Linked DNA regions of Drosophila melanogaster. The protein of the gene in region 1 interacts with the protein of each later gene in a pairwise test. Each region holds a gene or a part of one and is shown in the gene's direction. Other genes may lie near its edges. The genes, in order: Faf2, Gint3, CG4676 and Membrin.

What was found.
Region 2: the proteins of Faf2 (region 1) and Gint3 interact in a two-hybrid assay, tested with the Drosophila melanogaster proteins (one large-scale study listed by BioGRID).
Region 3: the proteins of Faf2 (region 1) and CG4676 interact in a two-hybrid assay, tested with the Drosophila melanogaster proteins (one large-scale study listed by BioGRID).
Region 4: the proteins of Faf2 (region 1) and Membrin interact in a two-hybrid assay, tested with the Drosophila melanogaster proteins (one large-scale study listed by BioGRID).

The regions. Positions count from the first base shown.
Region 1 is NT_033779.5:18,705,501-18,710,571, reverse strand, and holds Faf2 (Fas-associated factor 2), read left to right. Parts: upstream 1-1,972; 5' UTR 1,973-2,333; coding exon 2,334-2,456; intron 2,457-2,710; coding exon 2,711-3,775; intron 3,776-3,832; coding exon 3,833-4,039; 3' UTR 4,040-4,562; downstream 4,563-5,071. Other genes in the region: Grip71, read right to left, coding at 1-131, 187-1,028, 1,091-1,385, 1,445-1,634.
Region 2 is NT_033778.4:18,657,892-18,663,374, reverse strand, and holds Gint3 (GDI interacting protein 3), read left to right. Parts: upstream 1-1,826; 5' UTR 1,827-2,264; intron 2,265-2,602; exon of another isoform or gene 2,603-2,710; intron 2,711-2,749; 5' UTR 2,750-2,894; coding exon of another isoform or gene 2,895-3,180; intron 3,181-3,250; coding exon of another isoform or gene 3,251-3,330; 5' UTR 3,331-3,335; coding exon 3,336-3,389; intron 3,390-3,444; coding exon 3,445-4,455; intron 4,456-4,518; coding exon 4,519-4,667; intron 4,668-4,726; coding exon 4,727-4,838; 3' UTR 4,839-4,957; downstream 4,958-5,483. Other genes in the region: CG42306 (uncharacterized protein), read left to right, coding at 2,895-3,180, 3,251-3,330.
Region 3 is NT_033778.4:13,234,265-13,237,577, forward strand, and holds CG4676 (uncharacterized protein), read left to right. Parts: upstream 1-1,715; 5' UTR 1,716-1,750; coding exon 1,751-1,991; intron 1,992-2,043; coding exon 2,044-2,657; 3' UTR 2,658-2,791; downstream 2,792-3,313. Other genes in the region: Qsox1 (quiescin sulfhydryl oxidase 1), read right to left, coding at 1-633; CG4679 (uncharacterized protein), read right to left, coding at 3,050-3,313.
Region 4 is NT_037436.4:5,364,755-5,367,909, forward strand, and holds Membrin (membrin), read left to right. Parts: upstream 1-1,700; 5' UTR 1,701-1,844; coding exon 1,845-1,981; intron 1,982-2,050; coding exon 2,051-2,564; 3' UTR 2,565-2,627; downstream 2,628-3,155. Other genes in the region: Uev1A (Ubiquitin-conjugating enzyme variant 1A), read right to left, coding at 189-331, 1,375-1,402; Pfdn4 (prefoldin 4), read right to left, coding at 2,649-3,020, 3,146-3,155. UniProt on the Drosophila melanogaster protein: Involved in transport of proteins from the cis/medial-Golgi to the trans-Golgi network.

The DNA.
Region 1 (5,071 bases):
GCCTCCTGTGCTGCTGGCCACGGAAATGTTGGCAGACTGCTCCTCGCAGAGCTCGTCCGTCTCGGCAATCTTCATCAGCTTTCCGTCTCCGGAAATGTTGCTCCGATCCTTCAGTGGGCCGCTTAAGGTCTCTGCAAGTAATAAGCTTATTATAACTAAAAAATAATAATCTCTACAGTAACTTGCGTTGCAGTGACTCCGTGGTGGAGCTGTTGACGGAGTTATCCACCGAGCTTGGGCCAGACGCCACTGGAGGACAAAGACTTTGACGATTGGCAGTTTCATAAGGTTGCGGTTTTCGGTTGAGCGTCTCCCAGTCAAAACTATCTCTGTAAGAGGCGCCCAAGCGGGTCGACATGCGATCCACAGCTCTTGGACCTTGGGCATCCAGGAACTCGCAAAAGGAATCCCGGCGAACTATGGTAGGTGTTGACACCCCGTAACCAAGACTGGTCAGCTGGTTTTGGGTGCTCAACAAATTAGCGGCAATCGATTTACGCAACTCATCGCTGGGCGCACGCTCTACACGAGGAGCTTCGGTCGCCAAACCAGTTGCATTTTCGGAGCTGTTGAGGCTACCGTTCTGCTGGTTATCCCCACTTGGCACGGGCACAAAGGCTACACGTGTTACAGCCGCATCATGTACACTCCTCACGGCCAACGGAGCCTTTGTACTCCTCATATCATAGGCTATTAATTCGCCCTTAAGGTTTCCAGCACAAAGATAAGTGCCACATTCACTCAGCGCCACCGTCGATAGTGGATGCGAGTAGGTCAAGCGATCCGTAGAGGCCTGAGCACGATTTCGTCGAATGTCGAAGATATTTATCTTGCAATCGTAGCCCACGCTGACCAGCAGTGCCGGTTGGGATGTGCACATACTGATGTCCCGGCAGGGAGCACTGTGGGCTTCGCTGGCATGAAAAATCTTTCGCATTCCCTGCACATCATAGACAGTCACGGCTCCTTTATAGGAAGCGATCGACAGATGAAAGCGTTTGCTCGGATGAAAGCGCACAAGAGTAGAGCTGATATTAACAGGATAGCGAAAGATCAATGCAATCCTTTAACAAGCAAGCCTTTAACTTACTCGCCATCTATGGTGAAGGTGTTGGTCTTCTGTTTGGTCTTGGTACCCAAGATACTGATGTCCCCGCCATCGCGCACGGCGGCTATATACTCGTCCGTGTTGTTGTAGTCCATGTAGAGGACAGTACTCCTTTGCGGGTCCGCCGGAAAACGATGGATGAGCTGTGCCGTCCGAAAGTTGTATAGCTTAACACAACCGCTCTGACCCACAGCGATCTCTTCCAGGGATTGCTTGGCGCACGCCACACAGAAGGCATTGTCGATGGTGAGCTTACGGACTCGTTGAATCTCGGGCGCTGTGAAATGGGAAGTTAATTACATACGTGGGATTTGGGGATCCGCACCTCTCTCTTACTCTTGCCATCCTTCTCCTTTATTCGCATCACGGCCAAGCCCGCCATTTTATCCACCTCCACGAAGACCCGGCGTTGGCCGTTGAACTGAAAGTCCGTGGGCTCTGCGTTCTGGTGCACATACTCAGACTTTGTCTCCAGATCCGCGAAGTCGGAGAGCACGGTTTTTTTAGACGTGGAAATAACATGCATTTTGATTTATTTCTTCAGATATTTACACAATTCAAATTTGAGTGCTTTTGTTCGGACTGATTTAAGAATGTGCCCGCTGCTTTATTACCTGAAAATTCCAAAGCTCGTCCGTCGATTTTCCAAGTGATGTTAGACAAATATGCTGATTCCACTACACATTGTCCTTATCTAACACCTTTGAATTATATATCAATATTGCTTTTAATCTTTTTCTGTGTTTTACCACGCCAGGCATAGAGATCAAATAAATAATAAAAATAATTTTTTAAAAAGCGAACACAAATTGTTTGTTTGCCGCTGGATTTCGCAGTGAGAACGCGTCGGCCTGCGCGGTCACACTAGTCATTCACAACCAAATTCATCGGATCATTGGCAGAAAGGCAAGAAGAAGAGCAAGCAATCACCTGCGAAAAAGAAATAAATTGCCGAGAAATGTTAAAGACGTTGTAGTGCGGCAATTTGGCGTGCGTTGAAATGACTCCTGGCGACCAGTAGAAGCATTTAGTGACCACGCTACTCATCCCCCGTCCCCCGCCGCAGCGGCTGAGCCACTGGACAAAGGCCAGCTTACAACAAAAACAACACCAGGGAGACAGTCACGGGCCATTGGCACCCACACAAGCACACACACGCACGCACTGCGTAAAAGCAAACAACAACGATAACAACTGGGAACGGAGGCCTTCAACTGCAGGAAAGATGGAAGCTGATGGACTGACCAACGAACAGACGGAGAAGGTCCTCCAGTTCCAGGATCTCACCGGCATCGAGGATATGAACGTCTGCCGCGACGTCCTAATCAGACACCAATGGGATCTCGAGGTATGCATATGTTTATATGCCCACACAGTGAATGTCAAAATAACAGGGTCACGTAGTCTTGCAGTCTTGCATACAGTGGTGGCTGCAAGAATACTACTACCAACAAGTTTTGTACATATATATTATCTGACGACTAAAGATAGTAATCATTTTATTCTAAATTCTTTTTAAATTTGTTTTTTACAATTTTGCGTTGGGCGCCCTGCTATACTAAATACCAGCTTATTTACCCTTTTTCATATCTACATATGCAGGTGGCCTTCCAGGAGCAGCTAAATATCCGCGAGGGGCGTCCGACCATGTTCGCCGCCTCTACAGATGTCCGAGCGCCCGCTGTCCTTAACGATCGCTTCCTGCAGCAGGTGTTTTCCGCCAACATGCCTGGCGGAAGGACGGTTAGCCGGGTGCCCAGTGGCCCCGTTCCCCGCAGCTTCACCGGCATCATTGGATATGTGATTAACTTCGTGTTTCAGTACTTCTACTCCACGCTGACGAGCATCGTCAGTGCGTTTGTGAACCTGGGCGGAGGAAACGAAGCCCGCTTGGTGACAGATCCACTGGGGGATGTGATGAAGTTTATTAGGGAATACTACGAAAGGTATCCCGAGCACCCGGTCTTCTATCAGGGCACATATGCCCAGGCCCTTAACGATGCTAAGCAGGAGCTGCGTTTTCTAATCGTTTACCTGCACAAGGATCCCGCCAAGAACCCAGATGTGGAATCCTTCTGCCGCAACACACTGTCGGCGAGATCGGTCATTGACTACATTAACACACACACCCTGTTATGGGGATGCGACGTAGCCACGCCGGAGGGCTACCGGGTGATGCAGTCGATAACGGTGCGCAGCTACCCAACGATGGTGATGATCAGCCTTCGAGCAAATCGCATGATGATCGTCGGACGTTTCGAGGGGGATTGCACGCCCGAAGAGCTGCTCCGTCGCCTCCAGTCGGTGACGAACGCCAACGAGGTGTGGCTGAGTCAAGCGCGTGCAGATCGCTTAGAGCGGAATTTTACACAGACTTTAAGAAGACAGCAGGACGAGGCATACGAGCAGAGTTTGCTTGCGGACGAGGAGAAGGAGCGTCAGCGGCAAAGGGAGCGGGATGCCGTCCGGCAGGCGGAGGAGGCTGTGGAACAAGCTCGACGCGATGTCGAGCTTCGCAAGGAGGAGATTGCCCGGCAAAAGATCGAGCTGGCCACATTGGTGCCATCCGAGCCGGCAGCGGATGCTGTCGGCGCCATTGCAGTTGTATTCAAGCTGCCCAGTGGAACACGCCTAGAGCGCCGATTTAACCAGACGGATTCGGTGCTTGTAAGTTACACAAATTTAAACTGCTAATTTGGGATTGATGATTTGATGTTATTGCAGGACGTTTATCACTATCTCTTCTGCCATCCCGATTCGCCGGATGAGTTCGAGATCACAACGAATTTCCCGAAGCGCGTGCTCTTCTCGAAAGCGAACTTGGATGCCGCTGGGGAAACAGGCACAGCCAAGGAGACGCTGACCAAAACCCTTCAGGCCGTAGGACTCAAGAACCGCGAGGTGCTGTTCGTTAACGATCTGGAAGCGTAACCAAGCACCACCTACCAAATGAAAGCATCATCGTGTTACCAGCAGCAACGCATTACCAAAACTTGAACCAAGTTTTAAGTAGTCGTAGTCAACGTCCAAGTCGGAGGATAAATAGAGAAACTATTCCTAATTTAATCATGAACATTAATATTAATAATTGTTTAACAATGTTTAGGTTGATTCTCTGATCTGCCCAACACCATCAACCAACCCGTTTCTCAAACATTCACACATCAGTAAAAATCGTTTCCAGAATAATTTCCGTGAACCACAATTTAGTTCTTTTTATTTAAGATGCGTTGTTATGTTAGCTGTACTTATACTTCCGTCTATTTAACGAATAATAGAGGCACATTCTTGTTATTTGACAGAGAGCTTGAATTCAATTTGAATTTGAGTTTAGATTGAAGATATAAATAATCATTTAAAGTGAGAACGTTCAAATACACAAGTTCGGGACAGTTGATCATAAAAAATATAGTTATACAGATATTACTTTAAAACACCAAACAAGTGCTTTTCTAAAATATGGGCTTCTCGTAAGTTTACTGAATATCAAAGGAAAAACCAAATTTAAGTTCAAAATATATTTTTGAATTTTTGGTGTGGCAACGCCATTTGTACCTATCGATAGCTCATGGTGATGGGCTATTGCGACTCACGTACTTATGGCCTAAAATTTAATTTATTATTCAAGTAATATTTTAATTGATGAAATGTCAATTGATTTGACAATTTAATTGCTAGCGACTGATTAAAAAAGGTAAAGTTAAAAAGTGCGTCGAGTGCCCTCACGGCAGCAGTCACGAGTCCACCTCCAGAATCCTATAGTCATTGCTTGTTAGTCAGCACGAAAGTCACGACGGAGTCGTGTGAAAATCTGAATATACGCTGGAATTCCGAGGATTGGAGGATAATAGTGAGCAAGAGGACAATAACGACTGGTTCACCGACGACGAGAGAACGCGTCTGCTGCCCGGGAAAAGGGGAAAATCAGCAACCACTGGCTTGCGGCTGAAAATTCGGCAGTTG
Region 2 (5,483 bases), on another chromosome or scaffold:
CTTCTGCAAACGGCAATCAAGATGAGAACAGCGCTTTGCACATGGAGGAAATATAAGTAATGATTGAGCCAAATTATATGGTTAATTAAATTATATCGATAATACATTTTATCATTGATTTTTTCATATATATGAGCAATGAAGATGTTTTTCTCCCTGTGTAGCCTGTAAACTCCGCGTCTCCTGCACTTCCCATCCAATTGCTTGCTTATGCAAGGCAACGTGACTGTGTGGGCGTGTCATCACTTTCAATTTTGCGGCCAATTTGAGTGACACTTTCTGCCTGTTTGTCACGCCGCTTGCGTAGCCAAAGATTGTGCCACAAAGGGATGGGCAGTGGGGAGTGGTGTTTGGCATGAGGCACGGAGCCACCAAGGAGGACCATCATCATCATCAGGAGGCCTAGAGAAGCAGCGACTTTGTGTGTCTGCTCGTCGTCTGCGGCGCTTCCGTTTCCTGTGCATAAATTTTAATGAGCGAGCCAGATTCCCCGCCTTCAACTCCACCGACTCGGCTGGCCGCCCAATCAAGACACTATCAATGCGAGATAAGAAAATAAATAATATTTTTAAAACAAAAAAAAAACAACCGTCAGTGGGAAAGGAAACCCTTGGCTGTGTCCAGTGTCTCTTACCTTGACTTTCGCGCAGCGAGCACAAAGTCACGGCTATGTTGGCCATAAATTGGCACAACCAGTTTTGGGCCACGGGTGAAAACAAAAGAAAAGCCAAGGCATTGGCCAAATGGTTGCTGCTTTTACTGGCTTTCCCAACCGTGAAATTCGTGCAAGAGGAGTACAGGTGCGTCAGACTGATCGACAGGTGGAGTATCTTTCAGATACATTCATAATACAAGTACTGCATATCAGTAGAAAGTCAGCATACTTACGTCGCAATATAAACTCCAACATTTAACTTAAGAACTTCAAAATATGACATATTCGAGCTGTGAATATAATTGGTTATATAGTTATGAAATCATTGAATCTATTCTTTTGGTAGCTTTATATTTTCCTGTATTCCAGCATACCCCTCCATTGCTGGGAGCCCAGTTTTCTTCTCTCTCCTTCGCAGACTTGGCCACACACAACTCGACGTCTTCAGCTGGCGATTGGAACTAGTTTTTCAGGTTCGGCGCATGGCGGCTGATAACAACAATTGCAATGCGAATGACGCCGGACGACGGCGCATGCGCGCCACTCTTGCATTCCTTTCGATGGCTCTGGGTGCGCAGAACTCTCCCCCCAGCCGTCCCTCCCATCCGGGCATTTGTGGAATTTTAATTGCGCAAAACAAAAAACAAAAAAAAAACTGCAATGATGAGGAGTTGGGGACAGGCAACTGCAATTGCAACCGATGCGATGGTGGCTGGAATGGAATGGGATTGGGAATGGCTGGGAATGACGTTGAATGATGGTTAGTTGCAGCCCGGTTGCAAGTGAGAACATATCGCGTGATGGTGATAGATATAATGGCCATGGGACACAGTGCTCTTGTCATGCCAGAAGATGGGGCTGCAGACACGCCTTGGACTCGAGACTCAAATGCGCAGACTGCTGATTGCGATGGCAAACAGAGCCACAGCCAGATTACACATACAGATATAGAAACAGAAAACCAACGGACCAGAGCAGAACGAAGCCGATGGAAGAAAATCTTACACTCTGCTCGAATTATAAGTCGTCGACATTTTGCCTAACTAACAGTCGCCACGGAAAAATGAGCCAGCATAAATAAAGCCAAGCAAGGCGGAGCGGAATAGAATAGACTGTTTGTGTCTGTTGTTGGCTGCTGGCGTAATTGAAGTTGCAGAAAGCCAGAGACGAGCCAAGCAGCCACAAAACCTAAAACCTAAGAGAGAAGCAACACACCGAGATGGGGGCCATCTCCGCATCCACGTAGCCAGTGGAGCGCGAGGCATGGCGCATACGGAAGCCATAGGCTGCAAGAGATTTCTCTTCTTTGGCCTCCGCTCGACTTTCGGCTGGCTGTTGAACCCGCAGCGCATCGCTGGAGCGTGATCTCCCCGCCCCCAGATAGGCATCCCCAATCTCTCACTCTGCTACCTACTTGGCCGAAAAACATACTCAAGGATGCCATCGAAAATCAATCGCAAAATATGCGAAAGGAAGAGAGATGCCCAGGCTCCAATCGCCGAAAATTACAGGAAGCAAAAGCACTTGGCGAAACGATCGAAAATCATTCAATTACGACAGCTGGCCCTGCATATAAAAAATGGGCGTGTGCTCCACAAAATATCATTATGTAAGCACACGGTGAAAAAAGAGCGGTGGGTTTCGAAATTATTTTGAAAGAATCCAAGGTTGCAAATTTGGAATTAAATATACAAATATTTTAGCAAAATTAATAGTTGGTAGCTACTTTTTGAAATTTTATAATCATTTAAATACACAATTTAATATTTTAGCCTATATTAAAAATGTGGAAAATATTCTTAATAACAACGCCATAAATATTGTTCAATTCACTTCTTCAGGAACTGAATAAGGTCAATAGCAGGTGCACACATTAATTACAGGATGCGGGTGCAGAAATCAAGGCAAATCGAATGAGGTCAGAACCCTCAGGGAAATCCATAAATAATTGTTCCCCCCATTCGAAAATTACAATTTAAATTCAAAACAGGCGCCAAAACAAAGCATTTGGAAATTAACCAGCACTGGAGAGCAGCGAAATACTTTTATCGATAAGTAAGCTGTTGACGCATTTTCATTTGGTATTTTTACTAGCCCGTAGGTATTTACACACAGACCAGCAACGGGCACACCAGCAAAGAAAAAAGTGTTGACGAAATTATTATAATGCTGCGAATATAAACAAAGGATTGCGTTGAAAACGTATTAAATACGATCTTTGGCACTTACCAATCAGGCAATGAGTTTCAATTTCTACGTGGAATCGTTCAATTCAACGTTGCAGTCGATTGCGCGACAAGTGGAGCAATTTGCTGGCGTTGCACTGACGGCAGCCGTCGATCTGCGCGGAAATCTGGAATCTTTGACCGGTGACTTTCGTTGGGAAAACGGACCCATTGCCTTCACCGATCTGCAGGCGACACTGCTGAAGGTGCTTATCGTGCTGCTTCTGGGCACCTGCGTACTAGCCGGCTATTCGTGGTCCATTTACGGCAAAGTCATTACGGAGAAGTTTGTCAGGCCAAGTAGGAATATGCTTAAAATCAGGATGTTACGATAAGTTTACTTAAACGAAGGCCACGTCTTGCATTTCAGGCACGCTCAAGGAAATCGAGGAGCTTAAATTGTCGGTGGCCAAGTTGAAGCTGCCCAAGGAACACTCGCCGCGCATCTAGAAACCATGTCCAAGATTAAGAAGTTCTTTTCGCGGAAGAAGGCGGAGGCTGCCTTTAAGGTGGGTTCTTTCTTTAGCCAAGCCATTGGAAATCCCTTACCAAGTTCGTTTACAGCTCAATTTAACTGGCAGCGGCATGGGCACTGGCCACAAGCTGAATTCCCCCAAACAGGAGACTCCTTCAAGTAGTTCCCGCCAAAAGTATGAGGCCTATGTGCCACCAAAGCGAAATGAAATAAGTAACGAGGCCAGGGCAGCTGCCAGTGCGGCACTGGCGCGCATTGACAAGAAAACATCCAGGGAATTCAATACCTCGCTGTCGGCAGTGAAGGCACAGGCTAAAAGAGAGCTGGAGGCAGAGCGTCGCCAGAGAGAGGAAGCCATGGGCACGCCATCAACGACCAGCACATCCACATCGGCTTCCGGCGGCGACACTCGCAACCTGGCCTGCGAAGGCGTCTTCTTCCGCTGCCCCCTAATCAGCGAGGAGATTCTACCCAAGAGCGTGTGGAAGGTTCGCATCAAAGAGTTCCTCTACCAGCAGCTGGAGGCAGATCGCGGCCTCACCGCCTGCCTGATCATCCACAATTGCAATGTTAAGGAGAAGGCCGACGAGTGCATTGCCACGCTAATCCGATATCTGGAGAATCTTATCAAGAATCCCGAGGAGGAGAAGTTCTGCAAGATACGGATGTCCAACAAAATCTTCAGCGAAAAGGTGCGCTACGTGGAGGGTGCCCTGGATGTTCTGCAAGCAGCGGGCTTCAACGAGGTCCAGATCGATGGCGAACCCTTCCTTTTGTGGACCAAGGAGCAGACGGAGAAGGATCTCGACTTGCCCACACTAGTGGAAGCTCTCAAGAGCTCGGAGATTATTCCCCTGGAGCTGGATCGCAACATTAAGGTCCTACTTCCATCGCAGGCATGTCGTGTCGCCCTCCCCGACGAGTTTTATCGCCTGTCGCCGGAGGAGATCAAGAAAGAGCAACAGCTGCGATCCGAGGCCATTGCCCAGTCACAGATGCTGCGGACAAAGGCGATGCGGGAACGCGAGGAGCAGCGCAATTTGCGCATGTATCGATACGCTTTAGTCAGGGTTAAATTTCCCAATGGACTCTTTATACAAGTAAGCCATTCCGCGATGATGTCATCTGAAGTAATTTTATGTAATAAGCCGAATCATTTTCAGGGCACTTTCAATGTGTACGAAAAAATATCCGATGTGTTCGAGTTTGTCCAATCTTGCCTGGCGGACGAAAGCCTGGATTTTAGCTTGGTGTCCAACAGCGATGGCAAACTGGGCGATGAGGACTTGGAAAAGACACTATATGACTGCAAGTGAGTGATGCAATAATGTTTTCTTTAGGTACAACACTACATGATTTCCTTCATTTCAGACTCATTCCGAACACTCTGCTGCTGTTTAGCGCCAATGATACACCCGCTCCTTTGCAAACGGATATAAACTACTTAAAGGAAGACCTTCTAATGCTGGTGCAGGCTATGTAGAAGTGCTTTAACCCATATATTCAGCGGTATTTGTCCCTTATATTATAACAGAGCTGTTGTTATTTATTACTTTCAAATCTATTATTCAAAATCAATTATAAACGCACTTTACACAAAAGAAAATTTCTTTAAATTAATTTGGTTATTTGGCTGTTGCTACTTGTTCGCTTGAAATTTATTTATATTAAAAACTTATTTTTATATATTTGCTTAACTAAATACATACTTTCAAGCCACTGTGCGTCAAACAGCTGTTTGGTATCTTTTTGGCTGCGGTATTTCAGGTGGGCTTTTAAGCTTACCTGCAAACGGTCTTACTTATTGCAAAAATAAACAAAAATTGCAACGCTAGCAAGTGGAAATTGACGAATTATTATTTAACTATGAGCTTAAACTGTGAGCTGTGAGGAATTGTGAAAAGTGCACGAATCGCTGAACTATTTGGTGCTATGTAAATGTTAGTGAGTACGCAAGTCTAGAATCATATGTTTGTACCAAACAATAACAAAGTGCGGCCAATTGCATTTTGACCATAATTCCATTAACAAATGCCTAATTGTTGCTTAGTCACATTAGTTTCGGGGCTCAAAAAGTCATAAATAATGCCATTAATAAGCGGAGCAAATGTTACGCCTGTTTTGGAAG
Region 3 (3,313 bases), on another chromosome or scaffold:
CTCCGGTTCGTGAACCACTGCCACGTACTCCGTGGCGCTGCTGAGACCTTCGAACAAACTGCTGGCTGAATCGTTCTCCGTTAAGTAGTGAAAGTTTGGCCAGTAGGAATTGTTGTGGCTGCTGGTCAGGTTCTCTGCGGCCACCATACCCGCTAGTATTTCGCGGATTTCGTTTTTATCCTGCGTATGCAGGCTCTGCCCGTAATGCTGAGGACCCGGCTGGAAACCGGGGCCCAGATAACGTAGCGTTGGATAGCCCATCACCTCGTAGTTGCGGCAGATGCCATTGTTCTCCTCGGCGGCGCAATCGATGGCCGCCACGATGAGCACCTCGGACCAGGGCAACAGGTGCTCCGCTACCGACTTGTACGTGGGTGCGAATCTGCGACAGTGGCCGCAGTAAGTGTTGTAGAACTCGACTAATGCTCCGCGATTCTGGTCCAGGACGGTAGCATTGAAGTTGTCGACCGACAGGCGGATAACCTTATCCCCGTCGTCGTAGAGACCCAGTGTGGGATCCGATGGAGGGGACTGCTGCTTGAGGAGCGCCTCGTATCGCGGAAGGGGAACGCCCGCGGATGCGATGTCCACCAGCAGAGCGACGGCCAGAATCACCAGGTGCGTCGCCGACATTTTGCGGATCTACCCAATTTGCGGGATCGGTTGCGGCTGCGATTCGTACGGAATGCGATGTGGAACGCGACTGCTCTGCTGCGATAAGATTTAACTTCACCGAAGCATTTGGAATGTTTTACGGTCGCAAGTGGTTTGATTAACTGCTGCCAGGGATGCCAAATCGTCTGCTTTCTAGCTACGATTCTTCAGCTATTTTCAAAACTCGCGAAGCGAAACGATGTTAAACGTTTTTCGTGCCATATAATTTGTGCATTTTTAAATTACTTTGCCTATTAATTTGTTTTATTGTCAGTAAAAGTCATTTGGTATATATGTATAAACTACTAGCTACACGAATTCATTTTTACTGCGAACTAGTTCGCTCCCAAAATTTTAAAACCTAAAAAAGAAAAAAATTATTAAAGTAATATAAAAAGAACAGTGCACCTAGGCTAGGCAATGTTTTATACCTGCTTGCACTCTACATCAAGGAAATGATTATTTTTCACAATTTAAAACTTTACATTGTTTAGTTAAACATATTCTTTTATTTTATTGTCTCGTTCGTCATATGGTTTTCGATAATCCGCAAAAAAAAACCCCAACCTATTATGCACACGTATATATTAATTGAATCGCCTTTAAAAGTTCCAAGAAAAAAAACAAAGCAAAGTTTCATCGAAGCGCTATGCCTTATCAATTTTGTATGGTTTTTGTTTTTGTAATTTCACAGTAGAAATCCCCATTATAAAGTCGTTCTTTAATTTCAAATAAAATTTTATTTTTAATTTCAAGTTTTTATGTAATAATATAAAGCAAACTTAAGAACTTAAGCTTATAACATTTGTATTCCTTTAATATACCATCGTTTATGACATTTGATTTATTCGTATTAAGTTACTTATTATTACCTTATATATTTATATTTCTTTAAATTAAATCATTTGTGTTCTTTAAAAACCGGATTGCTTCTGTTAAATTCAATCTTATTTAACATTTTACGGGTTTCCTAACGTAAAGAGTTGTGTTCTAACCGTTTCACCATACTCGACTTAACAGTCTTACCGTTAGCAGCAGAGCCAAAAATCGCTTTGCAGCACTGTCTCAGTTGGGGGGTACAAAAAATAACGGGAGCATGATGATTTTGCGCTCGTGGGATCGCGTTAAACCTCGTTCCATTTCGGATTTCGCATGTTTCCTCCTGGTGGCTGTCTTTGTGCCCGTGACATACATCTTCCATGTGACCATTGTTATGCCGGAACTGTTTGCCATCGGAGGGATTTGGTACACGTTATTATGGTTGGCCAGCCTGTTCCTCATCTTCAACATCACATCCAACATGCTGGCCTGCATGCTTGTGGACACTAGTATCCGCAGTGGGTAGCAAGCAGTGATTTTGTGGTATCCCTTCTAAGATTGTCTTTATAGAGGAGCTGCTGAAGCCACCGTTGGATGCGGCGCAGCTGGCACGGTGGCACTCTTGCCAGGATTGTCAGACATTGGTGCCACCTCGATCCTGGCACTGCGAAGTGTGCAACGTGTGCGTGCTGAAGCGGGACCACCACTGTCGGTTCACTTGCTGCTGCATCGGGCATCACAACTACAGGTACTTCTTCTACTACCTGGTTTACATGATCATCGGATCCTTGGCGGCCGCCATCATGGAGAGCATCTATCTGTGGCATCTCCATCTGGACATCTACTGGCGCTGGTCTACGCTGTTCACCATATTTGCTCCCGTGGTTAGCCTGATGCTGTCTCCAAGCTGGGAGTCCTTCTACTTGGTCATATATGATCTCACCCTTCTGGGCTTCGCCATATCATCCTTGCTCCTTGTCTTCCACTGGTCGATATTCAAGAGCGGTTCGGTGACACGAGAGCGCGGCACAAGAAAGTACGATCGCGGTTTGCGGGGTAACCTGGAGATGGTTCTGGGCAAGAGAATGCATCTCACCTGGCTGTCGCCGTTTCTACGCAGCGATCTGCCACACGACGGAATGAACTGGGAACCCATAGCCGCCTTTTCTCCAAAGGAGGAATAGATCTGAATTGTGTCTTACCCATTCTTGACATTCATTAGAGGCATTTACTTATATCTACTTCATAACAAAATCAGTATTGTTTATTTTAAGACTCACTAGTCAACATCTGAATTGGAAATAGTATCCAAATTTATACGTCTTACTATTCTCTACTTGACCAATGGAAATTAATTTTTAATGTTTACAAGTCACACATTTGATCAGCTTACAAGTTAAAATAGTACAAAGCCTTTTATTAACATAAAGCTTTACAAAATATTTAGAATACTGTGTATTCATTCAGTAATGTCTATTATATGTATTAAATTAATCTGTTTAATGAAACCAAACAAGTATTTATTAAATGGTTATTTATTTAACAGCGTTCATTATATAATTTACAAAAGACTCTACTACTTATCGAGGAAACTTTCGCCTACGAGCGATTTCAGCTTAGACAGGTGTGTTTCATTTAGGGTAAATCCTTCATGAATACGTTTGGCTAACTCCCTGGAATCAAAGTTGTTCTCAACGGCATATTGCAGGGCAAACAGCGCCTGGCTGGGTGACTTCTCCTGCACACTTGCGTCCACAAATTCTATCAGAGCATTTAGGCTTGGTGTTCCGGGAATTCTGTGCTGGTTCTTGTCAATGTGGGCGAAGACTTCGGTCGCCTT
Region 4 (3,155 bases), on another chromosome or scaffold:
AAATGCAAATATTATCAAATTCCATCGCACTGAAGAGATAAACTGCCTTCAAAGATACAAGGTGCTATCCAAACTGAATGGTCTGCGCAATCTAAGCGATAAGATGTCAATAATCCTACAGAATTGCCTAATAAACCGGGCTTATCTGGTGACGTAGCGAGGAAAGTCCAATCGATATGGAAACTTACTCTAGGCGGACCGATGATCATGCCGATCCAGTAGGTGAGCGTCATGTCGTCGTCGTTCTCCAGGCCCCACGATATGGTGCCATCGCCCACGCCCTTCTGGCCCTGATCCAGCTCCTCCAGTAAGCGGAAATTCCGTGGCACCACTGCAATGTGAAACGGCAAAGAGGTGAGAACTCGATGACATAATGCATTTTCACTGAAAAACTTAAATCTTTAAATATAGTCATTAAGTTAAATGTCAGCTTGTTTTTAATTTTCTGGTTGGCGGGGCAAGAAAGTACTTAGCTTTCTAAATAATTATAATCACGGGCTCGTACAGATAAGATACATATATATAATTATAAACGACAGTTTTATCTATTTAGAAACAAACTAGTAAGGACTGTTCTACACATTTTCTATGGTATAAACCATTTTCGGTGATATTTCGGCGACTTTTCCTCTCAGTGTGGGGTCATATGGGTACGTGTTGTTGTTGTTTTGCGCTCTGCTTCTCGTGTTGTTTTTGTTTTCGGCCGTGTGACTTTGTACGCATTTTCGTGCAGAGAACACAAGTCAAAAAAAAAAAATGCGAAGCGCAGATATTAAGCACGATGGGCGCGGGGGGAGGGTGTGTCGGCGGGGGCGGGGCGAAAGCATAATTTCTGCATTTGCAAAAACAATCCAGGCAAATGTAAATGGCAGCTAATTTAATTAGAAAAGACAAGGCAGCTTGCAAAAACGCAAGTGTGCAAAAAATAAGGAAAATAAAGAAAAAACTTTAAGTATGAAGGCAAGAAGAAGAGCGTGCGCGAGCGAGCGAGCGAGAGCCACATAGTGAGGAAGGAGCGGGGATGATATTTCGGAAAATGTCAAGTCACGAAGCCCAATTGCAACGGAGTTTTTCCAACGCCAAACGCGGCCAAGGAAAATTGCAAGAGCAGCGTGGTCCGCTGGCGAAAATAAATTTCCATTCGCCCATTTCGCTTTTATCGGCTTTCGTCTTTCGCCCTTGCTTTCGTCTTCTTTTTGCCCGTTTTGCACCACACACACAATCACATTGCGGTCCGCTTGTCGGGTCCGTAGCGGCGGAAAAATCGCCGCCGGTCAGCGGGAAATGCAGAAAACGGATGGCCAACAACTCCGGGCGTGCGGGGATCGCATTTTTAAGCTGCCAAATTGCTAATTTATCAATTTTATTTCTTACCAACGCCGGTACTTGATGTATTCGCCATTGTGGTTAATGCTAAGTGCTAAAATACCGTAAAAGTGTGCTAACGCGTTTCCAGTGCGATGTGACCAGTGCGGTTTAGGTTTTGCTTGGCTTGCTTAACAACTCTGATTTTTACACCGTTAACAGTGGTAACACTTAACAGCGCCGTCAAGTGCAATATTTGGTCACTAATTAAAAATCATTATTTAACAATATATAGCATATTCTCTGAAAATAAAAAGGAAATTTAATAGTTGCATTAGCTGATAAGTTTGTCATAATATATGGTCATACCAAAAACGGCAGCCAGCTGCTCTGCTATCAGTGCTGTTAACTAACATGACACTCTGTCCAATGTTAACGCGTCAGCTTTTTTAAAAACAAACCAATTGCAACCGATTAAATATTAATTTGCGAATATTCTCGGGCCCATAAATTAATGCGGAATCAATAGGTGTAACGACATGGAGAGCTTGTACCACCAAACCAACAATGTGGTAAAGGACATCGAGCGCGATTTCCAGCGACTGAGTCAGCTCAGTGCCCAGGAATCGCTTGACGTGGAAAACGGCATTCAATTGAAGATTACCCAGGCGAACGCGTGAGTTCTACAATGATATATATTATCCCAAGAGGAGTTTGTATTATTAAATAAATCTTTTGTGTTTAGAAACTGCGATCGGTTGGATGTGCTGTTGTATAAGGTGCCACCTTCGCAGCGACAAAGCTCCAAACTTCGTGTGGATCAGCTGAAATATGACCTGAGACACCTGCAGACATCACTGCAGACGGCGCGGGAACGAAGACAGCGACGGATGCAGGAGATCTCCGAGAGGGAACAGCTGCTGAATCACAGATTCACGGCAAACAGCGCGCAGCCGGAGGAAACGCGCCTGCAATTGGACTACGAACTGCAGCATCATACGCAGCTGGGTAACGCCCATCGGGGTGTGGACGACATGATTGCCTCGGGCAGCGGCATTCTCGAGAGCCTGATCTCGCAGAGAATGACGCTGGGCGGAGCGCACAAGAGAATCCAGGCGATAGGCAGCACACTGGGTCTGTCCAATCACACGATGAAACTTATTGAACGCCGGCTGGTCGAGGATCGTCGGATATTCATCGGAGGAGTGGTGGTCACCTTGCTTATCATCGCCCTGATCATCTATTTCCTAGTGCTCTAATCTGAAGACATCGCGTTTAGTTGAGTTTAAATTAAATGTACTCTATTTTGTAAAATGTTAAATTAACAATTGATCAATTGTGGATTAATCCTCGGCCTCCAGTGAGATATTGCTGCCGAACCGCTGGTACAGATGAGCCTTCAGCTCGTCCATTTCCGCCTTGATAACCTTCGCCTTGGCCTCCACGCCGGCGATCTCCTTGAGCACCTGCTCCTTGGTCTCCTTCAGCATGTCCTGTGTTTTCTCCAGCTTGTGCGAGAGGAACACCTCGCCAACCAGGAACGGTATGTCCTCGTCCTCGTCGAACAGCTCAATCTCCTCCAGCGCCTCCTCCAAGCTCTTCAGCTCATTGCGCTTCGTTTCCAGCTCCGCTTTGAAGTCATCCATGCGGGCGTTGTGCTTCGCAAAGCGGTTGATCCGCTGCTGATCCTCGAAGGAGATGTGCACGTCATCGTGCTGAAAATGCGATTTAAAATATATATCATAAATTTCAATTGAGCAGATGCACAGAAAAAACCATGACAAAGTGAGGTTACTTTTCATCTTAGTCAGCTGTCCTTTGATGATTCACCCATACTCACGTTCTGGAAC